7 linked regions of the Macaca mulatta genome follow. The protein of the gene in region 2 interacts with the protein of the main gene of each other region in a pairwise test. Links are inferred from orthologs where the notes say so. Each region holds a gene or a part of one and is shown on either strand. Other genes may lie near its edges.

Region 1 (4,140 bases), on a different chromosome or scaffold from region 2:
CCAGCCTGGGCGACAGAGCGAACTCCGTCTCAAAAAATAAATAAATAAATAAATAAATAAAATAAAATAAAATAAAATGTGTTACTTGATCCTATCAAGACTTTCAACCCAATTTCTAGATTATAGGAAATAAAGGGGATAAAGAAACAAACCACAAAGAGGCAATGAGACAAACCGGAAGGGGGAACATTTGCATTCCTGGTTGGGGCCTTCAAGAATCAGTGTTATGAAATGAGGGTCTGTTTAGGGTTACAAGCGATTTATCTCTTGGGGCCAGGAGTTCAAGACCAGTCTGGGCAAGACGGTGAGACCGTGTGTCGACAACAAATTAAAAAAAAAAAAAAAAAAAGCCGAGTTCGAGACCAGTCTGGGCAACACAGTGAGATCCTCTCGAAAACAAATTAAAAACAAAAAAAAGCCGGGCATGGTGGTGTCCACCTGTAGTCACAGCTACTCGGGAGGCTAAGGCAGGAAGACTGCTAGAGCCCAGAAGTTTAAATTTATGGTGAACTATGATCACACCACTGTACTCCAGCCTAAGTGACACAGTGAGACCCTATCTCAAAAAAAAGAAAAAGATTTAAGATAATTTATGTAGTGACTTCCTTCCAATGGGTATAATACATAATACGTAAAGAGGGGAAAGAAAGAGTAATTTTACAGTGGAGAAGCCTGACAAGACTTCAGCCAGGTGATCACGCGCGTGTTGCCCAGGCTGGAGTGCGGTGGCTATTTACAGGTGCAATCATGCAATCGTAGCACACTACAGCCTCAAACTCCTGGGCTCAAGCGATCCTCCTATCTGGGGCTACAGATGAGCACTGTGCATGGCTTGAAAAAGGGATTTTTGTTTGTTCTCAAAATTTTGTCTGCTTCAAACTATTTCCCACGGCCTAGATCTAAGCTCCGGCAAGCTCTGGTGCTGCTTAACTCTCTATCCTCTTTTTGTGCCATTCTCCACTTCACTATAACGATCCTGCCACATTCATCTTCCTTCTGGCTCCTTCCTGTTTTAAGGCCTTTGCCCATGCTGTGTCCCTGCTAAAATGCCTTTCTCATGATGGCCAAAACAGAAGTAACCACCACCTTCTACTGCTGTTTCTCATCACCCCATTTATTTGCTGCTGAGCATCATCTTTTTTGTTTGCTAACCACCTGTCCCCCCTACTAGAATGTAAGCTCCTGAGGGGCAAACACTTCCCCTAACTTGTTCACCATACTCCAGCATTTAGAGCAGTAGTTTACATATACGGTACATGCCCAGTAAATATCTGCCCAGTGAATAAATCAATAGGTCTTAAGATCATAACTACAAAAGAAGCCGTAAGTTACAGACTGCAAGCCATCTCTGCTTCTCCTGATATGAAAACACTAAATATGAGTTACTTTTGTTTCTAAGACAGATTCTCGTTCTGTCACCCAGGCTGGAGTACAGTGGCCCAATCCCAGCTCACTGCAGCCTCGTCCTCCAGGCTCAAGCAATCCTCCCACCTCAGCCTCCTGAGTAGCTGGGACACCACGCCAGACTAATTTTTTTTTTTTTTTTTTTTTTTTTAGCAGAGATGGGCTTTTGCCAGGCCGGTCTTGAACTCCGGGACTCAAGTGATCTGCCTGCTTCGGCCGCCCAAAGTGCTGACATTACAGGTGTGAGCCACCTCACCCACCTGAAATTGTTGTTGTTTTTTTTTTTGAGACGGAGTCTCGCTGTTGCCCAGGCTGGGGTGCAGTGGCGCCATCTCGGCTCACAGCAACCTCTGCCTACCGGGTTCAAGTGATTCTCCTGCCTCAGCCTCCCGAGTAGCTGGGATTACAGGCGCCCGCCACGCCCGGCTAATTTTTGTATTTTTAGTTAGAGACGGGGTTTCATCATGTTGGCCAGACTGGTCTCGAACTCCTGATCTCAGGTGATCCGCCTGCCTCGGGCTCCCAAAGTGCTGGGATTACAGGCGTGTGCCACCGCGCCTGGCTACAAAACTGCTCTTTTTAAAACATCTTTTTTTGAGACATGGTCTCACTCCGTCGCCCAGGCTGGAGTGCAGTGGCGCAGTCTCAGCTCACTTTGGCCTCTGCCTCCCGGACTCAAGCAATCCTCCTGCTTCGGCCTCCAGAGTAGCTGGGCCTACAGGTGCACACCACTGTGTGCGGCTAATTTTTGCTCCCGCTTAGCTGGGATTACAGGCACTCGCCACCATGCCCAGCTAATTTTTGTACTTTTAGTAGAGACGAGGTTTTGCCATGTTGGCCAGGCTGGTCTCGAACTCCTGACCTCAGGTGATCCCCCCGCCTCGGCTTCCCAAAGTGCTGGGATTACATGTGTGAGCCACCACGCCAGGCCCCAAGGACTCACTTGTAACTCACTTACCTCACCCCGGCCCATTTAGCCATCTAGCGAACGGGCCCAGCCCTTACCAATAGCAAACTCCACCAGGGTCTCGTTCTCCTCCGACAGCGAATCGAGAAATAAATCCAGGACCTGCAGCTGCCGCAGATACTCGTAGTTGCTGGGGTCATAAGCGAAGTTGGCGAGGTTGGCGAGGACTTGCTCCTTGGCGTCTGCAACGGGAAAGCGGCACTGGAGCCAGGTCCGGGCGGCGGTCACAGCCGACCCTGTCACCTGGTCCCACCGTGGCTCTCACCTTGGCTCTGGGTCTCCTGGAATTCCGTGACCAGCGCCTGCAGGTATCCCAAACGCCCGACGTGGGGGTCCAACTTCGGCTTCTGGGCCATGGCCGGCGTGACGGAGGACCCCCAGGGACGGGCGGGCGGGTGGGAAAGGTGCAGGGGGAAAGCCGAGCGAGACCCTCACCCACTCTCCACCTGTCTGGCGAGGGAAGACGCGGGGACGGCAAACGGGTTTCTTTCTTGGGTTCAGACTCTGCAGTAATTTGCAGCTGGAAATGGAATGTGGGGAGATGGGCCGGGGTCTCAGAATCCTGTAGGAGTTGGGTCTGAAAATCGAAATTGGGGCGCGGGAGACAGGGAACCGTCTGCGGGCTGGGGCTGGCGGAGTGGGTACTGGCGCCCAGCCCCCGGCTGCCGGGCTCGGTTCCAGGCTCCCGGCGGAAGCCGCGCTGTCCCCACCCTACAAGGCGCGGAAGGGGCGGGACGAGGCAGGCGAAGGGCGGGGCCGTCGCCGAACTCCTTGGCGCGCGTGCGCGGCGCGCTTTCGGTTTTCTGGCTGCGGAAGCTCTTTAGCCTGCGCTGGAACCCGCTGCGACACGCTTCGCCGAGGGAGGTATGGGCGTGGGTGGGTGTACTGCGAGGAGCAGCCTTGTCTCCCATATCCTATGTCCAGCTGCAAATTATTGCAAAATCTGAACGCAAGAAAGAAACCCACTTGCCGCCCCCGCCAACAGGAAGGCGGGTGAGGGCCTCTCTCGGCTTTCCCGCCCCACCTTTCCCACTCTCCCGCCCGGCCCCCCGGGTCCTCCGCCGCCCCGACGTGGCCCAGAAGCCGAAAGTGAGGCACCCATGTCGGGCGGCTGGAATGACGTGAGGAGCAACTCAGGAGCGCAACGGAGTCTGGCAGCACCCATGTTGGGAGGACGTCGAGGCAGAAGCACCTCCAGGATCCCCATGGCTGGCGGGGCGCCCCTTTAGAGCGCGGGCGTCAGCTCCTTACCCACCCCCATCAGTCTTTTGACCCTTTTGCAAAAAGCGTAGCGACCCCGACCCGTCCTCTATCCCAGCCCCGAGGTGAGTCCGCCACCTCTGGACAGAAATCAAAGGGGACGGGGTCATGTCCTGGTGCTTTTTGTCAGCCGGGTGGATGGCGCGCGCCCGGGGCAGCACCGGGGAGCCGGAGGAAGAGCCTTGTTTGTGGCGCTTTCGGGGCTTTCTGGATGCTGAAGCCCTTCGGCCGATTCCTTCTCGAGGATTCTCGGGAAGCAGGTGTGTGATGGATTACTACTCGTGGTTACAGGGAACAAAGCACCAGGGAAGGAGGTGGCCTTACTACACTCCCATCGCGTTTGACAACGTAGGGGTAGAGAGGTGGCTTAGGCTGTGAGTGTCCTGAGAATGCAAAAGTTGTTAATCTAATTGGAGTCACTTGTGTTAAAAAAACAGAACAAAAAAACCCGGACAGAGTCGGAGAAAACCATGACAAGAGGGTTCTCATGCATAAATATCTGATAATGA
Region 2 (3,941 bases):
TTTGAGACCAGCCTGAGCAACATAGTGAGACCCTGTCTCTCCAAAAAAAAAAAAAAAAAAGAAAAAAGAAGGAAAACAACAAAAAACAAACAAAAAGGAAACATCCTGAGACAAACTACAACCCAACATATACAAAATTGTGAGATGCCACAAAAGCAGTACTAAGAAGGAAGTTTATAGTGTAAACACCTACATCAAAACAGAATAAAGATCAAGTCCCTGGGTCTATAGGAAAAAAAAAAAAAAAAAAAAAAAAAAGAACAAAGACAAGGATGGGGGTAGGAGGGGAAGATAGAGACAAAGTTCGTTACTTTGTAAGAGCAGGATAGGAAAAAAGAATAAGTTCCAGTGCTCTATTACATATTAGAGTGACTACAGCTAGTAACACTGTACTGTGTATGTCAAGATGGCTAGAAAAAGATCTTGAAAAGTTATCACCACAAAGAAATGATAGAGATTTGCGGTGATGGACATGCTAACTACGCTGATTTGATTATACAATGTACACACGTATTAAAACATTACACTGTACTCCCATAAACACGTTCAATTATTATATGTCCGTTATAAACAAAACAAAGAGCTCAAGATACTATGTGAAACCACGAAAGGCATTAACGACTAAAGAACGCGGAGAAGGGGCGTCCAGAGGAAGTTGGGCTAACCCCACCTGCGACGTAGGTGAGAGGTGAATTGAGTCTTGGACGATGACTTATCGTTTAAGCAGTTATTTCCAGACCGGCACACAGTAGGCTCACCAAAGAATGGAAGCGACCTTTATTTCCTGAGCTGCAGAATCGGCCTCTCCCTGGGCCTGCCCTTGCCCTAGGCTATCGGGCAGACGAACGCTCCCCAAGATAGAGACCACAGAAGAAGACAAAGTGTAATCCGCGCTGCCGCCCGCCCCGGACGCTAGAACGTTCTCTCTCCTCACCCGCGATGAAATCGAGAACACTGTGGACACCGCCATTTTCCCCACCTGCACCGGAAACCGGCTGCCCGGGCACTTCCGGGAACTCCTAGCCTCACGGCCAGCCGACTACGGCAGCCACGGAGGACCTGAAGCGGAAGGTGCGTCCTTGCGTATGCCGGAAGTGGCGGTGCGTGTGACGCCGGCGGCGGGGGGGGCGGGACCTGGGGCGGAGAGCGGTTCGCGCGCTTCGGGCCTAGTCCGGACTCGCCGCTGCCGCCGCCATATTCCCGGTAACGGGGGCGCGCGGCCGGGGGCAGGTTGGGCCGGAAGAGGGGTCCGGGCCGGCGCTGAGGCGGGGAGGGGGTCGGTTGAGATGGGACGGCCGGAGTCTGCGGGCGGAGGGAGGCGCGGGCCTTTGAGGGAGGGGGCAGAGAGAGCGCCGGGCCGGGTGTGTGGGGAGGGAGCGGGGCGGGCCTAGCTGGGGGCGAAGAGTAGGCCTGGGTGGGGAGCAGAGGCGGCTGGAGTAGCTTGACACCCGGGGGCCCTGGCCGGAGCTGCTTTGGGGCCTAGGCAGGTGCGACGGACAGGGGATGCGGGCTTCGCCGCGGTCTTTCTTCGCAACGCGGTCCTAGGGCCCCTAGGAGCCGAAGGTGGGACTTTTCCGTCGCGCCATAGGCAGCTGCGGCGCCGACGCGGCGCTACCCGGGTCGGGCCCGAGGGTGATGGGCAGCGACCCCCGGCGGCCTGGGAGAGCGGGGGGCGGCGCGAGGCCGGGGGCGGGGCGGAGCGGGTGGGGCCGAGCTCGGGCCGCTAGGATGCTGCGTCTCTGGAGATGGGAGGTTAGCAACCATTGCCCTCCTCCCAGGCCAGGACCCTCATGCCTTCTAATTCTTGCATTTTTCCGAATCCCGCAGTGGCATCTTCCTTACTTTGTCCATCCTCCGGGCTCGCGATCTTCCTTCCGGAGCCATGTCAGAAGGAGTGGACTTGATTGATATATATGCTGATGAGGAGTTCAACCAGGTGAGGGGTCATCAGGAGCTTTGGGATTTTCCTTGATCATCTGAGGAATCATTTTCAGCAAACTGGCAGTGGTTTCAAGCTGTACCAGTTCTAGGCTTGAACACGCGTCTATCCGGTCTAAAATTTTTCCCCTGCAGAAACTTTAAAGACTACACTCCGTTCCTCTTTGTGTTAATTTGAAGCTCCAGGCTTAATTTTAAAGGCTTTGATTTAAGAGCAAATAAAAAACAAGTGTAATAGAATGGTGAATCAACCTGTAGAATTTACTCCCCAGGAAGCCAAAGTTGGATATCAGACTAACCACACTTAAAAATCAAAAGTACATTTGCTACAGTATTCATGAGGACAGTGTTGATACCTGTTCCTTTACATTCTCAGCCTGCAGCTGGAGAAGTATAGTCCCCTCCACCGAAACAGTGCAAAGACAAAGTAGAAAAGATAACTTTAACATTTAGTTTCAACTCCATTCCAATTAAGTTTTACTTGCTTTTATAAGTAGTTTGGCCCGGGCGCGGTGGCTCAAGCCTGTAATCCCAGCACTTTGGGAGGCCGAGATGGGCGGATCATGAGGTCAGGAGATCGAGACCATCCTGGCTAATACGGTGAAACCCCGTCTCTACTAAAAAATACAAAAAACTAGCCGGGCGAAGTGGCGGGTGCCTGTAGTCCCAGCTACTCGGGAGGCTGAGGCAGGAGAATGGCGTGAACCCGAGAGGAGGAGCTTGCAGTGAGCTGAGATCCGGCCACTGCACTCCAGCCTGGGTGACAGAGCGAGACTCCGTCTCAAAAAAAAAATAAGTAGTTTGACTCCAGTCATGAGAAGTCCACAGGCATTTTGGTATAATAAATTGTATTGATTAACTTTAGTCTTTCTAGAGGGAATAAAAGGGTAAAGACGTTAGACACACCATTTAGATGACAGATATAGACTCATGCACAGACCCTCAGTTGGATTTGTTTTTATTGTACCAGGGAACATTATACAGAAATTTATCTAGAGCTGGGCACGGTGACTCTTGACTGTAATCTCAGCTGCTCCAGAGGTTGAGATGGGAAGATTGCTTAAGGCCAGGAGTTCAATACCAGCCAAGGCAACATAACAAGATGCAGTCTCTACAAAAATGTAAAAAAAAAAAAAAAACACAACCAGATGTGGTGGCTTGTGCCTGTAGTCCCATCTGCTCTGGAGAGTGAGGCAAGAGGTACTCCCTGAGCCCAGGAGTGCAAGGCTGCAGTGAGCCATGATTGGGCTGCTGCACGCTATCCTGGGCAACAGAGCAAGATCCTCCTGACTCTTAAAAACACAAGAAAAATTCTCTCAAAGGAATAATCTTCCATGCAGTTCAGTTTTTCCGTCTTGAGGTCAGTTCTCAAGAATGTTCCAAAGTTTCTACTGAAAACTTACTAATACGTTGCCTGGGTTATTTTCAGCACCATTCTACATAAGTTAAGCTGGCTCTTCCCATTTGCATCTTCCAGTGGGTACACATAAGGACCTGGTAAGAGCGAGTAATGAATGGGCTAGAAAAGGAATGTTCCCTGGTTGGACCCTGACTTTGATAGAAGGCAACAGAAGAGGCGGATACATGCCATTTATTTTTCACTTGGCATAAGTTTACATTAAAGTCTATTTTTTGATGCATTATGGATTTGTAACGTGGAAATTATAAACCATACACAAAAGTAGAATAATATATTGTACCCATTATACAGCTTCACCAATTATACATTTTAATGACAGGTTTCTTGTCTCTGCTCTGGCTAACTATGGTCCTTTAAATATAGCTGCTGGTTGTCTTAAATACATGAATTTTCCTCTTTTTTTTTTTTCTTTTTTCTTGAGACGGAGTCTTTCTGTCACCCAGGCTGGAGTGCAATGGCGCGATCTCGGCTTACTGCAACCTCTGCCTCCCAGGTTCAAGCGATTCTCCTGCCTCAGCCTCCTGAGTAGCTGGGACTACAGGCGTGGGCCACCACGCCTGGCTAATTTTTGTATTTTTGATCG
Region 3 (4,300 bases), on a different chromosome or scaffold from region 2:
GACACTACCTTCAGCCAACTACTTAATGCAACAGTTTTAGCATATAACTAGTATTTGTTGAACAAATAATGAGTGAGTGACCCTGTATTTGAGTATCTCTTCCTGAGGCCTCACCTTCGAGAACGGACATGGTAGCTGTCCTCTCGCCGGCGCCGTCGAGTCCGGTCACTACTACTTGACCAGGAGCGACTTCTTCGTCGCTTATGCTTTCGGCTTCGATAGTGTTCACGGTAACTCCCCCGGCTGCCTCGCTCTGAGGAATGGTACCTTCGAGGATGAGGCATCTGGAAGGGAAAGGAAAGTGGAAATAGGAAAGTTCCGAGTTTTCAGAAGTCTCCTCCAAGGACTGGCTGCTCAAAAGATGCTAAGCTGCTTTCCCCTCTTTTATTTCTGCCTCTTTTTACCACGAACAACTTCCTCAGTCTTCCTCTGTACTTACAATTCCTCCTTATTGGAGTATAGCCACCTACTAACTCTGGCTGAAACTCTAGAAAGCCCCCAAACCCATCCCTCATTACCCTCCACTCAGTTCAAGTGTTATTTTTTTCTTGAGACGGAGTCTTCCTGTGCGGCCAGGCTAGAGTGCAGTGGCACAATCTCAGCTCACTGCAACCTCCACTCCCGGGTTCAAGCGATTCTCCTGCCTCAGCTTCCTGTGTAGCTGGGATTACAGGCACATGCCACCACTCCTGGCTAATTTTTAAATTTTCAGTAGAGACGGGGTTTCACCATGTTGGCCAGGATGGTCTCAAACTCCCGACCTCAGCCTCCCAAAGTGCTGGGATTACAGGCGTGAGCCACCGCACCCAGCCAGTTCAAGTGTTCTATCCTTATTTTCTTCACACACAGCTCCATGAAGACTTTCAGGTCTAGGACAGAGTTAATTACAACGGGAAGTGTATGACGAAGATAGAGACTGCCACAGTGTATCCCCGGTCAGGATCTAAGATATAGATCTGTGCGATGCTGAGTTCCTCACAAGTCAATAAAGCTTTGGTTTACAGTTATGATACATGTCGTACACTCACTAAGACTACGTCTTATCTCCCCAAGTAGACTATCAGTGTCCTGAGGGTAGGAATCCAGTCTCCCAGGTTTCTACATATACCAGGTAAACGCCAAATACTATCAGTTCCAAGGATCTGGGTCGGGCCCTTTGAATTAATTTAATCATCTCTCACATCTTTGGCCAACTCTACCTTGAGAGGTTTTAATGTAGTAGGCCACAAAATACAGTCAGCATCCCATCTAGCCCCTCCACTCTTGTGCTTGAGATGTAGAGAATAACTGTTTTGTGTGTGTGTGTGTGTGTTTTTTTGAAACGGAGTTTTGCTCTTGTTGCTCAGGCTGGAGTGCAATGGCGCAATCTCGGCTCACCGCAACCTCCGCCTGCCGGGTTCAAGCGATTCTCCTGCCTCAGCCTTCCGAGTAGCTGGGATTACAGGCATACGCCACCATGCCCGGCTAATTTTGTATTTTTTAGTAGAGACAGGGTTTCTCCATATTGGTCAGGCTGGTCTCGAACTCCCAATCTCAGGTGATCCGCCCGCCTTGGCCTCCCAGTGTGCTGGGATTACAGATGTGAGCCACCGCGCCTGGCCAGTAAGTGGTTTTTTATTAATATCAGCCCTACTTAGCTGACAGCTGGCCACCTTCCAGTTAATGGAATTGGAATGGGATGGTTCACAAATCCTTTTTTTCCTTTAAGGAAAAAAGAAAAAAATCACTGTCACAATCCAGGAAGATGAGAATAAGAAGGCAGAATAAAATGAAACAGGCCCAGGGACAGAAGTCTTGGTGGTAGTGCATGAGAATCGGGTATGCAAAAGGTTTAACGATTCCAACGTCTGACCACCATTCTGTATTACTTCTTTCCAACCTCCCCAAATTGAGGAGGGTGGTATTTGATGCATTCTTGGTGTAACTGCGGCCGGGAGCATACCAAGATGCAAGCACAAGATTTTCCCAGCACAGCCATCCGAATCAGCATAGCCACATAAATGCCATCTCACCACATACTACCATCAAACGGCCTCACAGCACTTTCCCCTCAAAGCATCACTAGTCTACCTTTCTAAAGTTTGAAATCTTTTGCTTTTTCCTTTCTTACTCAGAAAATCCAGAACTCCTACAGGCAAATTCTTCCTGCATGCTCCAAGTGACGCGGTGATGTATTCCTCCCCTCCAGCTTTGATTGGACCCCTGAGTCCAACTTTGATATTCCACTCCTTCACATCTCTGGAACCACTCCCATCCTTACTCTATCACCCCTTCTAGTCTGGCTCCGCCCAAGTTTCCTACAGGTCTTCTCAGTACATCTAATGCAGGCCGACCTCCTTTCCCCTCATCTCCCTACTTCGCCGCTTCGTAGGTCTCAACTCTCCTCCTCTCCAAATCTCGCCCCCGTCCCTTGCCCCCAATCCAAGCCTAACCCCGCCCGCCCCGCGGTCGCCATCTTTTCGCGCGGCCCCGCGGTCAGCCAACCCGCGCGCTCACCGTTCTGGCGGCGAGGCCCGTGCGCTTGTCCCACAGGAAGTCCGTGATGGCGGCGGCACTGCGGCCGGAGTCCCGGCACCCCCGCGGCGACGAAGTGCTGCTCCACACCCCCAACCCGGGACCCTGGGACCTCCCGCCCCGTTCCCGGGCTCCGCTTCAGTCCCTCCCGCCCCGGCTCCGTCCCCGCCCCTAAGATCTGCTTGGCGCCGCTCGCACCGCCCCCGCCCGGGGCCCGATCCCAGCTCGGTCTCCGGCTCTGGCCTCTCCGCTCCGCCGCCGCCGCCGTGAGCGAGCACGCACGCACGGACTCACGTCTTGCGTCGCTTCCCAGCTACCCCCTGGGCACCGCCCCCAGGACCGCGCGCGCCACCACGTGCTCACGTAGCTGGCAGGCGTCAGCCTGTCAGAGCCTCGGAGGTACTGGGGGCGGAAGTTCATAGGGGCGAGGAGGGTCCACAGGGACAAGCTGGAAGCCTTCCAGGCCCGCTATGCCCCGCCTCCTGTCCTTTCCCACTCCCTCTTCAATCTTTTACCCTTTGCATGGAGACGTGTGGCTTAGTTAGGTTTGGAGTTTAAAAGAAAGGATTGTCATTATCAATACAGTGTCGCTGCTCTGCAAGCCCGACTCTAGTGAGGCTTGATGGTGAAGTCTCATTCTTCTGCATAGCCTGAAAATAACCATTTCTTAAAACACATCACCTACCTATCCCCAGAACAAAAGTCTGCCACCTTTTGTCATCAGCAAAAGTTATGCACGACTCGGGGTGGGGTCACAGCCATGGGGGAAAGGTTTGAGCAATGGAGGGTTAGAGAATCGGGTGCCGAAAAAGGGGACTCACTTGAGAACTGTATCCTAAAGTGGCTTACATAATGTGTGAGAAATATAAGTTTACTAGGGCTGGGCGCGGGGGCTCAAGTCTGTAATTCCAACACTTTGGGAAGCCGAGGCCGGCGGATCACGAGGTCAGAAGTTCGAGATTAGCCTGATCAACATGGTGAAACCCCATCTCTACTAAAAATACAAAAATCAGCCGGGCGTGGTGGCATGCGCTTGTAATCCCAGCTACTCAGGAGGCTGAGGCAGGAGAATCGCTTGAACCCGGGAGGCGGAGGTTGCAGTGAGCCAAGATAATGCCATTGCACTCCATCCTGGGTGACAGAGCGAGACTCTGTCTCAAACAAAACAAAACATATATATGTACACACACATATGTTTACTACAGGCGCGCATCACCACGCCCAGCTTTTTTTTTTCTTGTAGAGATAGTGCCTCACTTTGTTACCCAGGCTGGTCTTGAACCCTTGAGCTCAAGCAATCCTCCCCCCGTCGGCCTCCCAAAGTGCTGGGATTACAAGCATCAGGCACCGTGCCTGGCCAGTTTACTAAATCTTAAAAAAGAACAGGAAGGCTGGGTGAGGTGGCTCACGCCTGTAATACTAATACCAACACTTTGGGAGGCCAAGGTGGGTGGATCAATTGAGCACAGGAGTTCGAGACCAGCCAGGACAACAGGGCGAAACCCAGACTCTACAAAAAATACAAAAATTAGGCCAAGTGTGGTGGCTCATGCTTGTAACCCCAACACTTTTGGAGGCCCAGGCAGGTGAATCACTTGAGCACAGGAGTTCAAGACCAGCCTGGCCAACATGGTGAAACCCCGTCTCTACTAAAAATACAAAAATTAGCCAGGTGCAATGGCGGGTCCCTGTAATACCAGCTATTCTGGAGGCTGAGGCACGAGAATCGCTTGAATCCGGGAGGCGGAGGTTGCAGTGAGCCGAGACGGTGCCACTGCACTCCAGC
Region 4 (4,106 bases), on a different chromosome or scaffold from region 2:
CTTGCCATCCCTCTGGATGGGAAAACTAATTTCCTAAGCCTCTGAAGTCAGTTGTGGGGAGTTTCCAGTTCACTTGTGAAAACAGTTTTCCCAAACATCGCTCATCATCCTCCCCTGCAGTTCCGGGAAGCAATTTTGGGCTCTTGTCATTAAGCCTCATTTTTAATGTCAGAGAATGAATTCCACAAGCCTTGTCTCCCCCAGTGCACATGGCAAGCCAGTCCGAGCAGTTAGAAAAATGGGTGTCCCATAGAGCAGCACAGCCTGCTCTAGCCAGGGCAAATTAAGCTAGCTCAACTGATCAAGTAAAGGACTCCAGTACATTCTGCGCCATTCGCGGAGTCTTAGGGTATTTTAAAAGGTTATCCAGTCTGTGCACATGCAAGGAAGATTTCCGGTGTATTTAAAATGGATGATAGTGCATTTCTCAAATATAGTACTGTGTACATAAGATCTGCTGTTTGTTGGAAAAGCTAAATAACCCAAAATGTAAATGACAGAGCCTGGGAATATGTCAGGGTCAAAGAGAGCAGGGATGAAGAAGATTTAAGTATGCAGCGCGTCCTAAGCAAAACACAAAGCCTGAAAACTGAGCACAGCCACCTGCAAGGCACCTTCAGCGAGCCCCACGGTTAACAGGGTCAGTTTCTCCACAAGTGGACAGAGGGGCTTATGCAGCAGCCAACTCTTCCTGATGGTAATTTGTGACCCAATTTCATCCAGTGTTTCATGATCAATCCCCCTGAATGTTTATGAAGCAGGAAAGAAGCTCAGAATCCAGGAGAGGCCTCCCGGACAGGAAGTGGGCCAGGCACCTCCACAGCTTCCTATGCCTAAAGTTCTCCATTTCAGCCTCAAGTAGCCACCAGAAGACCACTAAGATTCCGCCACCTTCTCCAATCAAAACTACATCTAACCAACCTCCAGGGGAGAATATACTGAGGTAGGATTTTCCCTTGTGTTCACTTCTTCACAAGCAAGGTTAACACTTGCTTCTCAGGAAATCCCTGTTCCAAACATCAAAAAACTTCCATGTCTAGCCCAATCTCCAGGTGAAGTCAATTTCTTCTCCACGTGTCCGATGACCGCCATTCTCTTTACATAAAACTCGCATAGGCTTGAATCCTGTTACTAATTCACCTGCTTATCTATGAAGCTTGGAAAGTGAATTGAGGGAGTGTTCACAAGCACAGTTCCGTTTCGGTAAGGTAAAGCAGCCCAGGTTAATTTCATTTTCCGTCACTTTTGAGACTTGATAACTACATCTAAAACAGAGGCATGAAAAACACCCTGAATCACTTTCATTACTACACAAAATCCCTTCCGAGAAGCGGGGACTGGGCCTGGGCCAGGAAGGGACTCCCCTACCTGTGGGTCCCACCAAGCCACGCCCACCGGCCTCTCAGGGTGGTTTCTTTCTGGGTCGAGGGATGGAGCTGGCCCATGCGATATTTTAGGCCCCCTCCTGCCCACACTGGGGCCTGCTCATCCCATTATGCATATGCAAACTTGGCAGAAGCGGCCTTAAACCTGTTGGCAAAATAAACAAAGCCAAATAAAGAGGAATCTGCCAACCTGAATTGTGAGAAGTGACCAAGGCCGACTACACGACTCCACGCCCGCTCGGCTTTGTCCCTGAAGCTGCTACAAAACTAGTTTAAGTCAGGTGCCTGGGGTCCACCAGCCAATGACCCCTAGCATCCAGCGCAGACCTTCACAGAGATCCTTATTGTCTACAAATTACAGCGTTTTGCAAATTAAACCCCTCCCCACAATGCCAAGCTAACTGTGCTCATAAGGGAGTTACCGTCCATGCCTTAAAACTCACACATCAAATTTTTCCAAAACCACTGGGTGATTAAATCGCCCTGAAAAACACCGAGAGGGCCGAGCGGTTGTGAGAAACTTTGGTTCAGGTGGCTGTAAGAGTCCTGTAAATCTGGGGCAGGGCGCAGAGCCTGAAGCCGGGCACAAAAGCTCCCTTCGCCGAAGCGAAGACCTCCTTTATGCGATGTGACAGCAGCTTTGTGCGCGATCATAAATAGTTGTAATAAACACAGTTAAGTTCTCCCGGCCGATCGCGGCCTCCCCGGTCCCTGCGCCGGGGCCCTGCGATCCGCGGCTATTCTTCCCCGGCACACGCGCCCTGGCGACCCTGGCCACCGCACGGTCCCACGCTAGCCCCGAGCTCCGTGCCAGCCGCCCGCCCGCAGGCCAGGCGCAGCCTGCGCACCCGGGGGTCTCCAGTCCCCGGGCCCCGCCGCCGGGCCCCCTGCCCTGATCCCCGCCCGCGCCCTTGGCTGGCGTCCCCGCCTCTGCGCCGGGCCGCGATGGTGGGGGTTGGGGATGGGAAGGCGGGCAGGAAGGTGCCGAGCCGGGAGATGCCCGGCAGCCCACAGTCGGGGGCGCCCAGGCCGCGGCGGGGCCGAGAGTACCGGTGGGGCGCGGAGGCGACCCGCTCTCGCAGCCCCTTCCCGGGCGCACCCCGGCCCACGAGCCCCGCCGCGCTCCCAACTCCGCCCAACGACCCCAAGTTTGTGGCCCCCTCCCCGCGCCCGCCTGGCCGTGCTTACCTCGCTGTGGGCCGCCCGCGGAGCCGGAGGGCAGCGGCGCGGGTCCCGGGGCGGCGGCCGCGCTGCGCCCGCCCAGGCGCCGCTCTTTGTCTGCGCCGCTCCCTCCTCCCGCCGCCGGGCGGACGCTGCCGGCCCGGGCGGACCCCGCCGGCCCGGGCGCCGCGAGCCTCCCCGCAGCCGAGCCCTCCCCTCCGCCCGCCGTCCGCTCGGCCGCGCGGCTCCGGCCTGACGATCCCCGCGGCGGCGGCGGCGGCGGCGGCGGCGGCGGCGACCCTCCCCCGGCGCGCAGCGCCCGCCTCCTCCGCGCTCTTCCTCCTCCTCCCGCGCTCCTCCCCGGCAGCGCCGTGACGCCGCCCAGGGGCCGGCCCAGGCCCGGGCACGCGGGGCGGGGCGGGGACCCGAGACCCACCTGGGGCGCCCCCCGGCGCCGCCAGGCTCCGCGCCCGGGTCTCGGTACGGGCGCGGGTATAGCGCGGGGCTGCGGGACGCTCCGCTCTGGAGGCGCAGCACTGGCCCGGCGCCGGGGACAGGAAAGGGTCCCCACGCCCGAAATTGCGCGCGGGCGGTGGGGGGCAGGCTGGGTGGGTGGGGAGGAGAGTGAAAACATAGGCTGCAACTTCCAGCCTGGGATGCCTGCCGGGTGGGCTTTGCGTCCTCTTGTTTGTTTGTTTGATGTCCTTATCGCGAAGCTGTAGTTGCTGGGCAGCCGCCCCCCTCCCGGAAGCATTCCCACGGCACTCAGCTAAGCAGGCCTGGTGTCCATCAGAAAAGTGACTTAAATAAAAATGTCACTTCCTCCTTGTAATTGCTTGTGGGCATTTTTATTTATTTGTCTTGCATCTATTTACTTTCCCAACCAGACACGTTTTTAGTCCATCATCCCTGTCTGAGGCACTTCCTAAAGGGAGAAGAAACTCGACCTCTGTTGCCTCCCAGGCATCCAGGCCAGCCCCAGCCAGTGGAATCCTGGTTGCACACCCATGGGGACAGGATCCGAAGAGGAGCTGCCCGAATGTGCCCCTAGAAGGAGTGTCGCTAATGATGGGACTGTTCAGCTCACCCAGCCTCAAGTTGTGGCTAGCCTATAAACAAACTTGGAAGATTAAAACCCAAAAGCAAGGGGAAAGACGCAAGTTTCCCTTTCACAGACACATGCATCCGGATGTCTTTTCTCCTCCCCATATGGTTTCCCAAAGGAAATCCTAATATTCAAATGATTCTGATTTCCTGGCAGGATAGCCTGCATCCATGTTAATGAGATTCTTTCTTAGGCTGCTGGTCTCTGCTTACTATTAAGACAATAATAATTTATCCAAGGTTACAAGGCAGTATTATTTGATTCAGTCATCTGCTTCCTTCCAGAAAGGAAGTACCCAAGGACAGGTAACTAGAGTCAGTGTAGCTTTGAAGTCAGACAGGTGAGTGTTTGTTGACTTCCTGAACTGTGTAACCTTGCACAGGTGGTCTTAGCCTTTCTAACATCTGTCAAATGGGGAGATAATATTTACCTACCTCCTATGTGAAGGACTCTGG
Region 5 (3,500 bases), on a different chromosome or scaffold from region 2:
AGACAGTAGCTGGTTGCTGACATTTGTTGAGAATGTATCTCAGGATGGGCCATGTGTTAGGTGTGATTCAGTCCCCATGGCATCCCAACAGGGAAGGTACTGAGTGGGAATGTGACTTGCCTGAGGTCTTACAGCCAGTGAATGGTGGAGTGGAGCTGGAGTCTGAACCCAGGCAGCTGGACCCCAGAGCGCACTTTTTGCTGCTTCCTCAGCCTTCCCTGAGTTTGGAGTCCTGATAAGCTCTTCTGTGTGTTTTTCCTTTTCATCCTGTGTATGGGTGTGTGTAAGTCTAATCTCCTGTCTTGTTTAACCTGGTGGGGAAACTGAGGCCCAGAGACATGAAGACTCCTTCCCAAGAATGGTTGGCATAGGCTCCTGGTCCTCTGTGAGAGACCTCACTGGCCTAGAGACCCTGCCTCACCTGTTCCAAATCCTGAATTGCCTCTGCAGTCTCGCTCTGGCCTACTCCATCCAGGAAGCAATCCCCAGGACTATATCTTTTTGCTTTTTGTCTCCACCCTAAGTTATTGCTGCAGTCATGGTCTAGGGTACATGGCTGGGATTTGCTCAGACTCCTGTCCTCCCCAGTTTGGCATTTATGTCATGGATCTCTTTTGACGCAAGCTGCAGGTCAGCGGGGCAGGGGCGGGGGCGTGGGTTATCCCCTTGCCAAGGGCAAGAATTACTTCCCAGGTTTCCTTACTTCGTGGCTGCCACTGAGCCCTTTGTCAGATCACCCTGCCCACCGTTCTTAAATGGCTGGCTCACTTGCTTTCTTGTTCTCTGTGTCCCTGAGGGTCGTCCTGCTGCCATGCTTTACCTTGCTCTGTGCCCATTTCTTCATTTGATTCACTTTCTGCAAGTCTGGGGCTGAAAGTCAAGACTGTGAACTGGTGTGGGCCTGGGGCTGTTGTCACTCAGGGAAAAGCTGCGAAAGAGGCAGAGGAGACTGTGTGCACATCACGGATGACCCCTTGGGATCCAGAGGCCTCCAGCCAGCCTCAGGTACCCAGTGGCCCCATTGTGCTGAGCCTGCCCCACTCTGTATCTCCCCATATAGATCCGTGGCCAGCTGCAGTCCCACGGCGTGCAAGCACGGGAGGTTCGGCTGATGCGGAACAAATCTTCAGGTGAGCTTTTGTTCCCAGTGCCCTCCCCTTCCAGTGGCCAGCCTCAGCCTCGGAATCTCCCTCCTACCTCTGCCTTCTCCCCGACTCCCTCCACCACCTTCCTGCCACAGCTGGGAATGGGCAGTGTGGGGGGTGCCCTCTCTTCTCTCCCCTTCCCCACACTCTCCTCACAGCTCCAGCCAAAAGCCTCTTCAATGGGGCTGTCGGGGCAGGGGTGCAGCTCTGAGCTGAGCTGGGTGCTCCCCGGGGTCACGGCCAGGGCCAGGCTCCCAGGCATCTCCTCTCTGGGACTCTTGAGTATCTGAGATGGTAACCCCCTCCCATACACTCCCTTCCCTCTCCTTTCTTCTTCCTCTGCCCCTCACTTTCCCCTACATTTTTTGGTAACAGCCTCTGACCAGAAAGTAGCTCTGACGTGGTGGTCCCACGTGTGTGTCCCAAGGGGGAAGCAGGGGATGGCTCTTATCCAAGGACACATCCCAAGGAACAGCCAGGACTTCCTGGCCTCGCCTGTTCCCTCCCTCCCTCTTGCAGGCTGCTTGGAGCTGGCCTGAGGTTAGCAGGGTGGTGGTGGGGGGAGTTGTCTCTACAGGACCTCTGCCCAGGCTCCCCAAGGCAGGCACAGTGGGGCCTCACTCTGCCTGGGCTTCTCTCTCCATCTCTCAGTCTCTCCTCCCCACACCTCCATCTCTCTCTTTCTCTCTCTCTCTCCCTTTCTCCCTCTCTCTCTTTCTCTCTCTGCCCCCCCCCCACTTATATTATTCATTCCATCCTCCTATGCATCCTAACGGTTATTCTTTTGAACATTAAGCATGCCCCCCCCCCAAGCCCCTCTCATCCAAGCCCTCCCCGTGTATCTGCCTCTAAAGGACATGCTATCCTGAGGCCTCAACCCTGAATCCCTTTCCTAAGCCTGGAGTCTTGGTTGCATGTAGGTCTTGCTCTGCATCACCCCAACTACACCACACATGGACAGCTTCTGGGTCTCTCTCTCCCCAAGGTGTTACAGGTGCAGACCCCTCGATGGCCCTGGGCGCTTCTCCCAGGCACCCATTGATTCTTACCTCTAAGGTCCTCCTGGCCAGTCCTGGCCACCATTCTCCTTTTGTCCAGGGGAACCTGGACTGTTTGTGGCTGTAGTCTCCACCCTGTGGCCCTGAGGTGGCTCCCTAGCGAGGCCCGCCTCCCCTGCGCTGCGGTGAGGCTGAGATGAGGTCGTGTCTTTAACCGCCCCTGGTTCTCAATGGGCCAAGAGCCTTCCTAGCCTCACAGAGCAGCCTGGCCCAGCTTCTCTTTTGCTCCTGTGATTCAACACCTGTTACAGGACCCCTCCTGGGTGCCCCTGGCCTCGAGCCGGGTCCGCCCTGGAGTTACGTATTGTGGCTTGTGTGGAGCCAGCAGCCTGCCCACCGTCCCCTACCTCCTTCTCTGGAGGCAGATCTCTCGTATTCTTTCCCTCCCGGCTGCTTCTCTCCGTCTCTGTCACCCCAGGCTGGCTCGGCAGGTCTGCCCGAGCCCTATCTCTTTCTCTCTTCCCAGTTGGTGTGTGTGTCTCTCCCACTACCGACCTCTGGTCTCTGTTTTTCTCCCTCCGCCTTCCCTGCCCCACCTGGCCATCTACCTTGCCCCCCACACCTGCTAGTCTCTCTCTCTCTGATTGCCTCTTTCTCTTTCTTCCTTTCTCCTCTTCCCCTTTCCCTCTCTCTGCCCCCGTCCTCTCCCCTCGGGTCCCGCCCCCGGGAACGCCGTGTGTCCAAAGCTGTTGACTAACCCACTGCGTCTGTATCTGAATGCTGTCTCCAGGTCAGAGCCGGGGCTTCGCCTTCGTCGAGTTTAGTCACTTGCAGGACGCTACACGATGGATGGAAGCCAATCAGGTTGCTTTGCCGCACTTGAACCCCCCCCCAAACAAATACTACTTTGTAATCGAGCGCTCCCCATCGCCTGATTCTTATGGACACAGTTCCCTGCCCTGTGGCCCTGTGTCCCATTCCCCCTGCCCCCTCTCTTCCCTTCCTGACCCTCACTATCTCCTCTTCCCATCTCTCGCTACCCCACTGGGCTTCCCATCCAGAGCCCACACTCACCACTGGCCCCTTCCTACCACCAGGCACTAGCGCTGCCCCTTCACCTCTCCCAGCTGACCGTTCAGAGAAACAGCTGCCAGGGTGGGTTCTTTCACCTAGCTTCCCACTCCCCCCGGGCGGGGGTGGGGGTGGGGCACCCCTCTCTGGGGTTAGCCAGAGCCAGGACCTCATTCTACCCTCAGGACCACTGGAAGTCCTGCCAGTGAGGAGCTTAGCTATTGGCACAGTCACTAGCAAGACTCATTTTGTCAGCCCCCTCCCTGCATGTGAATTTGGCCCTTTG
Region 6 (4,023 bases), on a different chromosome or scaffold from region 2:
TAGCTGGGATTACAGGCGCCTGCCACCATGCCCGGCTAATTTTTGTATTTTTAGTAGAGATGGGGTTTCATCATGTCAGTCAGGCTGGTCTCGAACTCCTAACCTCAAGTGATACACCCGCCTCGGCCTCCGAAAGTGCTGAGATTAGAGGCGTGAGCCACGGCGCCCGGCCAGGTCCTACTATTAATAAACAAAGCACACGATACATTACGTAATGTATTCGAAGGTAACAAGCCCTGTGGAAACAATTACAAAGGGAAGGAGGATACATTGGACGGAGGGGCTGCAATTTAAAATACGGTAAAGACAAGACCAATGAGTAAGGTGGCTATCTAGGGGAAGAGCGAAGTTAGTAACAGTAAGTGCAAAGGCCCTGCGAGCGCCATGTGCACCATGAGAGATCGTCCAGGAGGCTGGTGTTGATGGGGCAAAGGGCAATAGGACTTGAAATCGGAGAAGCAAGTCGGGGAGGGGGTCAGTGTCTGAACATGGTAGGCCCTGGAAGAATTCCGGCTTTTCGTCTGCACGAGCTGGGGAACGGCCGAAGGTTTCTGCGCACAGCACGGACCTACGTGCCTCAGCTTTAAGGGAATCGCCGTGGCCGCTGCTGTGAACGCAGAGGAGGGCGCAAGCGTGGGAGCAGGAACCCAAGGAGGCGGGAAACGGTGGGGCTTTCTGAGTGTGCTGGAGCCCACAGAAAGAGCCCACAGATCTGCTGCAGACCGGAAGGGGGAGCGAGAAAGAGCGGACAGAGGCAGACGCCGGGGCTGGCGGCGATGGCGCCGCAGTCGGAGGAAGGGGAAGGCCTGCGAGAGGCGCCCGCGGCCCAGCGCCGGCCTTCGGGTCCCACCTTGCGGGTGATGTTGTGCACGTAGGGGCACGTGTTGCAGGCGAAGCGGTGGCAGCGTTGTCCCTCCTCCACGATCAGCCCGTTCCCGCAGCCGGGGCAGAATAGCAGCATGGTCTCGAACCCCGCAGGCGCCAACCACCGGCAGCTCACACTGCCGCTCAGCGCCGACGCGCGGCCCGCCTCGAGCTTACATTGGTCCTGGCGGCCGCCTCGCCCCGCCCACCAACCAATAGACAGGGCGATTCTGCGCTCCCAGCCCTGCTGCTGGCTGTCTCGCACTTGTCATTGGTCACTGCAGCCGCCCCACCCCTCGGCGCACCAATGGCTGGGCGGCCTCGCTGGGACCGGCCGCAGTTCCTGCGCGTGCGCGCTTGGCCTCCCTAGTGCGTATGGAAGTGCCGGCAGAGACCGGCTGAGAGGTGCGGCCCTGGAGGAGATGGAGGCCGCGGGTGGGTCCGAGGCGCAAGAGGAAGATGAGGACGAAGAAGAGGCGCTGCCGCACTCCGAGGCCATGGACGTGTTCCAGGAGGGTCTGGCTATGGTGGTGCAGGACCCGCTGCTCTGCGATCTGCCGATCCAGGTGTGTGCTGGCGGGGGCCAGCGGGGCGGGAGTCGTTCCCCGGGGGCCGGGCGTCCGGGCGCGCGCAGCCTCTGAAGGTGCTGGTGGGAGGCTGCGGCCCAAGGCTGAGGAAGGCGCCTCTGGGCGTAAACAAGGGTCTTTACCTTGGCCAGGCACACTCGCCTGCGGCGCGAAGTTTAAAGAGGAACCAAAAACCTCATTAGTGAGTGACATTAAATGAAATTTTAATGTAATTGTATTTAGGGGGCTGGGGGGACAGGGTCTTGCTCTGTCGCCCAGGCTGGAGTGCAGTGGCGCGATCTTGGCTCACTGCAGCCTGCACCTCCTGAGCTCAAGCCATCCTCCCACCTCAGCCTCCAGAGTAATTGGGACCACAGATGCGCGCCACCACACCCGGCTAATTTTTAAATTTTTTGTACAGAGGGAGTCCCACTATGTTGCCCAGGCTGGTGTCAAACTCCTGGGCTCAGGCGATTCTCCTACCTCAGCCTCCCAAAAAGCTGGGATTATAGGTGTGAGCCACCCACTCGGCCTGTAATAGCTTTAAAAGTCAAAGGTGATGAAAAAAAAAAAAAAAACCCTACGATAAACGAAAAAACTTAGTTCCATTTGCCTCAAGCGTCAATATGCTTTGGCACGATACTTTTTATTTATTTGAGACTGAGTCTTGATTTGTCGCCAGGCTGGAGTGTAGTGGTGCGATCTTGGGTCACTGCAACCTCCCACTCCCGGGTTCACTACAGGAACGCGGCACAACGCCCGGCTAATTTTTTGTATTTTAGTGGAGACGGGGTTTCACCATGTTGGCCAGGATGGTCTCGATCTCCTGATCTAGTGATCCGCTGGCCTCGGCCTCCCAAGTGCTGGGATTACAGGCGTGAACCACCACACCCGGCCAGTTTTAAATGTTTTATATTTTGCTCATCATGGATATTTTAATTGCCTTGTATTTCTTAAATGTTGTATTAAAATATTTGTTATTACCGTTTTTTGTGTACACCTGCCTTACTCAGTCCTGGGCCCTGGCCTGGGTCCTGATGATCAGGGATACTCAGGGTGAACTGACAGGCCCCCACCCACCCCTGGGGACGGATCCTCATGTGCGTTTATTCTCTTGCCTGTTTTTTAACACCTCTTTCCCCCAGAGACTCTGTCCACTTTGGACATTAAAATGTGAGTGGAACATGAGATTGGGGCTCTGATGAATTGGGAAACCCTAACATATATGCAAGTACCCTTCCTTGCCCTTCGTAAAATGGAGCACCACTTTTTGGCCACTGTCAGCTTGTTCTTTGTTGTTGTAAAGACAGCCAGGGTTCCCACTTCTGCCCTTGGTCTTTTCTAGGTTACTTTGGAAGAAGTCAACTCCCAAATAGCCCTAGAATACGGCCAGGCAATGACGGTCCGAGTGTGCAAGATGGATGGAGAAGTAATGCGTAAGTGTGCCCTCCTCCCTTCAGGTTATGTGGTCCAGGCTTTCACAGCAGCAAAATGTAACAGTGCTGGTCAGCCTGCTCCGCAACTCACAGGCCATGCCCAGGGGTACTGGGGCAACCACAAACCTGCCCTGTGCACAGAGCTTCCGGGTTCCTTTCCTGCCATCGGAGGCTATGGCTTTGGGTTCTCACTGTGGATCTTCTCCCATCTGTGTCCGTGGTTGCAGCTGTGGTGGTAGTGCAGAGTGCCACCGTCCTGGACCTGAAGAAGGCCATCCAGAGATACGTGCAGCTCAAGCAGGAGCGTGAAGGGGGCATTCAGCACATCAGCTGGTAAGTGGAACGACAATCCCTTCATTATAGCCCTTCCTGGGGCTAGTGCTGTTCTTGGCACTGTCACCAGGCACCACCTGGAAACAGCTCTCAACTCTGCATGAGTACAGCACCACTGAAGTGATGAGCTCCCCGTCACAAGAGTTCAGACAGTGCAGGTCCTTCTGTGCCTGGGACTCCTGCCTCGGCCATCCCTAACATACTGCTTTCATCGCCATCACCCCATCCAAGCTGCTGGATATCCTCACTTGGGGACCCCGTCGGGCATTTCCAGTGTGTGTGGAAGTGGCCTCCCTAGTTATGGATGGTACACCTGTAGTGGCTACCATCCCCTTCTCACCTGGGTGCTGGCAGCCCTCGCTCTCCTATTGGATCAACTGTCCTGTTCACTGAGTCTCAACACTGTCACCTATTGCATTAGCAAGGTGTGTTTGTCCAAGCCGCCCCATACAGGCCTCTGAGAACAGAGCCTCCGTGCAGCCGCCTCAGAGCCAATTTGCACATTGTACAGAACAGCCCAGGTAGGGAGGACAGCTGCCCCAGGTCCCATAGGGCTGAATGCCTCAAGCCCACGCCATGCACAGCCACTCAGCTCACCATGCTCAGAGCGTGTGGTTTACCTGCGTTCCCCTCTTGCAGGTCTTATGTGTGGAGGACGTACCATCTGACCTCTGCCGGAGAGAAACTCACAGAAGATAAAAAGAAGCTCCGAGAGTAAGTGCCGGCCACATCTTGAGCTGTAGGGGACAGCTGTTCTGTTGACCCCTAGTCCCCCGTGCTCTGCCAGAGGGCTGCGGCTCACTCTCTGGAGGTAACACCCTCCT
Region 7 (4,155 bases), on a different chromosome or scaffold from region 2:
TGTATAAATCCAAGTTTTGTTTTCTTATTCATCCTCATAGTCACTTACAGGGGAATGATTTATGACACATTAAGGAGGTATTCTTAAGCTAACATGTCTTAATTAGGAATTCAGATATTCCTCTTCTGCTGAGAAATACAGAGCTGTTCAAATTAGACCAGAAATTAGGGCCAAAACGAATGCAGCCTCTACATACATAAGCTCATTGCAGGGTAACCAGTGAAAGGCAGAGGCTGAAGACACACAAGTCATTCTGCGTTTGTCTCCTTCATGCTAAATGATTCTTTGACTGCTTTTCCTTTCACTTTTCAGCGTTATGATGGAGCCAAAGGGTCAAGAGATTCACAACCCTACAGCCCTCCCCTTCGTTCATCTGTAGCATAAAGCATGCATTTCCTAAGAGCTGGGTGTGGGGGTCTCTTCATCTACCTTCTCTTTCATTTATTTAGTGAAATGAAGCTTATTTAGTAATGACGGAAAGAGATGAGCCAACTAGGGCAGCTCACATATGGTGCCAGACGGTGAGGGACTCTCTCTGTGCCCAAGGCACTTGCTGTACCACAGGAGCTAGGCAGCCCCGGGTGGGAAGGAAGCTCTGCTCTTAACCAACGGCTGCTCCAAGGGTTCCCCCAGCCAGGTGATCCAGACAGCTATGGTTTCAAAGCTCTGTGAAAAATGAGTCTCTGACTTGAAGACTTCAATCAGGCAGCCTCTCCAGGACTGGGATTACTCCACTAATACAAATTAAAGCCATTCAGAAGTATGCTAAACCCTTTTTTAGATACTAGAGGAGGATGAAAAGAGGGAGGAAAAAGAAGCAAAGTAATTTTGCAAGATTAGGATTATACTGTGGTTTATGCCAATACCTTACATTTGTTTACTTCTATATTAAAATGATTAAATACTCCTGAAATAGGAGCTTTAACGATTTTAAACATTTCATATATATTATTTGCAGCAACACCCAAGGGAGAAGGGTACTATTATTATCTGAATTTTACATGCAAAGTGACTTGTCCAATGTCACACTTCAAAAAAACAGCAGAGTTGGAATTTGAGCCCAGGCAGCCTGAAGCTTGCAGTCTTATCTACTGTGAGCTACAGCTTTTCTATCATATGGCACTAACATAGTTATATTTAATCATGCTCCCGATATTGGACATATATATATATACACACACACACACACACATACATACACACATACATATATAGGCACATACATATTTTTAAACTAATGAGCAGTATAACTTCAGATACATGTCTAATAAAGATTTTTTATTAAATACCTTTTCACTCTTTTTAAGAAATGAAACATTATGCTTTCCACTGAAAAATGATTGCTATCTAGTGATTTCATAGTTGTCTAAAAATACTTGGCCAGAAAGGAAGAACTTAAAATTCCCTAGGACCCTTCCACTACTTCTGGATTTAATATTATTTCTGAAATGTCGAAATCTGGTAAGTTTCAAAGATGCTACTGTCTAATGGAGGAAGGTTCTACAAAACAGTACAATTTACTTACAAATGACCCCCCCACCCCAAAACCCAAAATACATGGAAACACCATTTTGCATAATCAGTCAGCAAAAACTCCTTTTGTTTTCCAAATTCCCAGCATTGGAAAATTGTATTAAGTAGACACTCTCATAAACTGCCTCTGGAAATACAAACTGGTATGACTTTACTGGAAAGTAATTTGGGAACAAGTTACCAAAAGCCATAAAACTTGAAAACTCTTACATTTACCAGTGTGCTGCTAAGAAATTAGCCTAAGGAAATAATTTGCAATGGGAACTAACACAGAGCTATAAGAATATTTTTGGCACCATTAAGGCAATAAAATGGCTGGGCATGGTGGCTCACACCTGTAATCCCAGCACTTTGGGAGGCTGAAGTGGGAGGACTGCTTGAGGTCACGAATTTGAGACCAGCCTGGGCAACATGGCAAAGCCCCTTCACTATAAAAAAAAAAATACAAAAGTTAGCCAGGTGTGGTGGCATGCACCTGTAATCCCAGCTATTAATACTTGGGAGGCTGAGGTGGGAGGGTGACTTGAGCCCTGGAGGCAGAGGTTGCAGAAAGCCAAAATCATGCCACTGCACTCCAGCCTGGGTGACAGAGTGAGACCCTATCTCAAGAAAATAAAAAGGCAAAAAATTAGAAACGACTAACTGTCCAGTTAGAAGGGATATAAATTAAATAAATTTTAGAATATTTACTCAATGGTATACTATACAATCATTAATAATTATACTGTAGAAAAATATCTGTTGCTATGAAAGATGTTCAGAATTACATTGTTAGGAGGAACAAGACTCTTAATAATCTCTACTACTTCTACAATCTCTACTACCATTTGATGTTCGTCTCTCCAGGTGAATTTATAAACACTGCCTTCAGAATTATCAGCAACGCCTCGTCATCTATCCTAACCAGTGACCTCAAAATAAGTAGAAGTTACTTCCTTTCCCACAAAAAAGCAAGGGTTTCATTTTTATAAAAGAGACAGTAGGGAGAAATGGAGTCTACGTGAATAGATACATATTTATGTTCTGTGTGTATGTTTGTGTAACCAGATATGTAACCAGATATGTATCTTGGGGACTATCTTGGGGACTTTACAACTCAGTGATAATTATTTTCCTTTAAAGATTTTGGAGACGTTTACCTGTACCATGTGCTTTCATCACAATGGAGAAGCATAAGCTATCAGTTCCTTGCGGCGGATCTCTTCACGAAGATTTTGCTTGAGTAGAAAGGGTGGCAGTGGAGAATCTCAATGTAAAATGCCTAGACCTGTAATTATAAAAACAATATTCCCACTGAGTTAGGCAGCTTCTGTGGTCTTCATTCACATTTGCTGATGTCACAGAAACGGGAAACATCATATTGCATAATCTCTCTCATACACACATGCACACACACAAGCGTGCACACACACACACACACACACACACAAGATTTTTAAATCACAATGTCAAAAACTCAGCAGGCAGAGACACAGCAGGTTCCTATCCCCAGAGATGAGTGGGTTCTGGCCAGGGGTTGCTTCCCACCCCATCTCCTCACCTTAGGGACACCACTATCAAAATAATCCTGTTCCTGCCCCTCCCTCTCTGCTTAATGATTCTAAGATTTCTAAGAAATAAAAAGCAGTCAGTTCTTCACAGAAAATGTCAGAAACAATGCTGAATTTGATGCTCTCTTTCTCTAAGACTCCTTCTAGCCACACAATTATGCAAATTCAGTGCATGTATTTACCATTCTGGCCTGACTTTCACTTTTGAAACTACACATGCCTCTTTGTTAATAACTCAGTTAAGACATGGTATCAGCGATGGCCAAGGTCATCACGAACATTGATTAAACATTTACTATGTTCTGGGCCCTGGACTGAGGGTTTTACACACATTGCCCCACTCCATTGCAGTCTGTGAGGTAGCCAGGAATCATGATTACCTCTGCATTATTGACAAGAAAACTGAGAGTAAATACAGCCAACAGATGTTAAAGCCAGCACTTAAGCCAACCATTTACAGAGGTCATGCTTAGGATTCTAGTACTATACCATCGCTTCAAAGCTGATATTGCTATCAACACTTCTGTAGTTAGTATTAAAACATGTCGGGGCGGGGCGTGGTGGCTGACGCCTGTAATCCCAGCACTTTGGGAGGCTGAGGTGGGTGGATCACGAGGTCAGGAGATCGAGACCATCCTGGCCAACATGGTGAAATCCCATCTCTACTAAAAATACAAAACTTAGCCAGGCATGGAGGTGCACACCTGTAATCCCAGCTACTGGGGAGGCTGAGGCAGGAGAATCACTAGAACCGGGAGGCAGAGTTTGCAGTGAGCTGAGATCACACCACTGCACTCCAGCCTGGTGACAGAACAAAACTCTGTCTTAAAAAAAAAAAAAAAAGCATCACATCAATATCACCTCATTTTCCCCAGAGGGTTATGTCACCTAAGTCTTAAAATTACTATTATTTGTTTTGGATTTGACTGTACTTTGATTTTAATTCCCAAGCTCAACTAAAACCAACATGTTCATATTTCAATTGAGTGTAAGTTGATGGTTATTTTCGTAAATTAAAAATGCTAAGTAATCCCAAATCCAGATGCCAAAACACTAAGCAGAAACCTAAAAT

Evidence for each region.
Region 1: the proteins of CPSF7 (region 2) and ARMC7 interact in binary tests that used the Homo sapiens proteins (3 or more experiments, as listed by UniProt). The two-hybrid records come from large-scale screens. The link is inferred for Macaca mulatta from reciprocal best matches to the Homo sapiens genes CPSF7 and ARMC7.
Region 3: the proteins of CPSF7 (region 2) and CLK2 interact in binary tests that used the Homo sapiens proteins (3 or more experiments, as listed by UniProt). The link is inferred for Macaca mulatta from reciprocal best matches to the Homo sapiens genes CPSF7 and CLK2.
Region 4: the proteins of CPSF7 (region 2) and NCK2 interact in binary tests that used the Homo sapiens proteins (3 or more experiments, as listed by UniProt). The two-hybrid records come from large-scale screens. The link is inferred for Macaca mulatta from reciprocal best matches to the Homo sapiens genes CPSF7 and NCK2.
Region 5: the proteins of CPSF7 (region 2) and RBM10 interact in binary tests that used the Homo sapiens proteins (3 or more experiments, as listed by UniProt). The two-hybrid records come from large-scale screens. The link is inferred for Macaca mulatta from reciprocal best matches to the Homo sapiens genes CPSF7 and RBM10.
Region 6: the proteins of CPSF7 (region 2) and SNRNP25 interact in binary tests that used the Homo sapiens proteins (3 or more experiments, as listed by UniProt). The two-hybrid records come from large-scale screens. The link is inferred for Macaca mulatta from reciprocal best matches to the Homo sapiens genes CPSF7 and SNRNP25.
Region 7: the proteins of CPSF7 (region 2) and ATXN1 interact in binary tests that used the Homo sapiens proteins (3 or more experiments, as listed by UniProt). The link is inferred for Macaca mulatta from reciprocal best matches to the Homo sapiens genes CPSF7 and ATXN1.

The regions. Positions count from the first base shown.
Region 1 is NC_133421.1:84,791,292-84,795,431, reverse strand, and holds the start of ARMC7 (armadillo repeat-containing protein 7), read right to left. Parts: upstream 2,801-4,140; 5' UTR 2,728-2,800; coding exon 2,637-2,727; intron 2,554-2,636; coding exon 2,410-2,553; coding exon of another isoform or gene 2,378-2,409; exon of another isoform or gene 2,006-2,377; intron 1,705-2,005; exon of another isoform or gene 1,671-1,704; intron 1-1,670. UniProt on the Homo sapiens protein: As a component of the minor spliceosome, involved in the splicing of U12-type introns in pre-mRNAs.
Region 2 is NC_133419.1:12,615,896-12,619,836, forward strand, and holds the start of CPSF7 (cleavage and polyadenylation specificity factor subunit 7), read left to right. Parts: upstream 1-1,141; 5' UTR 1,142-1,361; exon of another isoform or gene 1,362-1,563; intron 1,564-1,827; 5' UTR 1,828-1,882; coding exon 1,883-1,936; intron 1,937-3,941. Other genes in the region: SDHAF2 (succinate dehydrogenase assembly factor 2, mitochondrial), read right to left, coding at 776-970.
Region 3 is NC_133406.1:111,713,784-111,718,083, reverse strand, and holds the start of CLK2 (dual specificity protein kinase CLK2), read right to left. Parts: upstream 2,801-4,300; 5' UTR 2,497-2,800; intron 285-2,496; coding exon 115-284; exon of another isoform or gene 82-114; intron 1-81. UniProt on the Homo sapiens protein: Dual specificity kinase acting on both serine/threonine and tyrosine-containing substrates. Phosphorylates serine- and arginine-rich (SR) proteins of the spliceosomal complex.
Region 4 is NC_133418.1:13,841,967-13,846,072, reverse strand, and holds the start of NCK2 (cytoplasmic protein NCK2), read right to left. Parts: upstream 2,801-4,106; 5' UTR 2,574-2,800; intron 1-2,573. UniProt on the Homo sapiens protein: Adapter protein which associates with tyrosine-phosphorylated growth factor receptors or their cellular substrates. Maintains low levels of EIF2S1 phosphorylation by promoting its dephosphorylation by PP1.
Region 5 is NC_133426.1:47,202,978-47,206,477, forward strand, and holds part of RBM10 (RNA-binding protein 10), read left to right. Parts: intron 1-1,060; coding exon 1,061-1,130; intron 1,131-2,933; coding exon 2,934-3,007; intron 3,008-3,500. UniProt on the Homo sapiens protein: Binds to ssRNA containing the consensus sequence 5'-AGGUAA-3'. May be involved in post-transcriptional processing, most probably in mRNA splicing. Binds to RNA homopolymers, with a preference for poly(G) and poly(U) and little for poly(A).
Region 6 is NC_133425.1:1,245,364-1,249,386, forward strand, and holds the start of SNRNP25 (U11/U12 small nuclear ribonucleoprotein 25 kDa protein), read left to right. Parts: upstream 1-1,223; 5' UTR 1,224-1,286; coding exon 1,287-1,430; intron 1,431-2,775; coding exon 2,776-2,866; intron 2,867-3,093; coding exon 3,094-3,199; intron 3,200-3,838; coding exon 3,839-3,913; intron 3,914-4,023. Other genes in the region: POLR3K (DNA-directed RNA polymerase III subunit RPC10), read right to left, coding at 851-961.
Region 7 is NC_133409.1:166,497,879-166,502,033, reverse strand, and holds the start of ATXN1 (ataxin-1), read right to left. Parts: upstream 2,801-4,155; 5' UTR 2,673-2,800; intron 1-2,672. UniProt on the Homo sapiens protein: Chromatin-binding factor that repress Notch signaling in the absence of Notch intracellular domain by acting as a CBF1 corepressor. Binds to the HEY promoter and might assist, along with NCOR2, RBPJ-mediated repression. Binds RNA in vitro.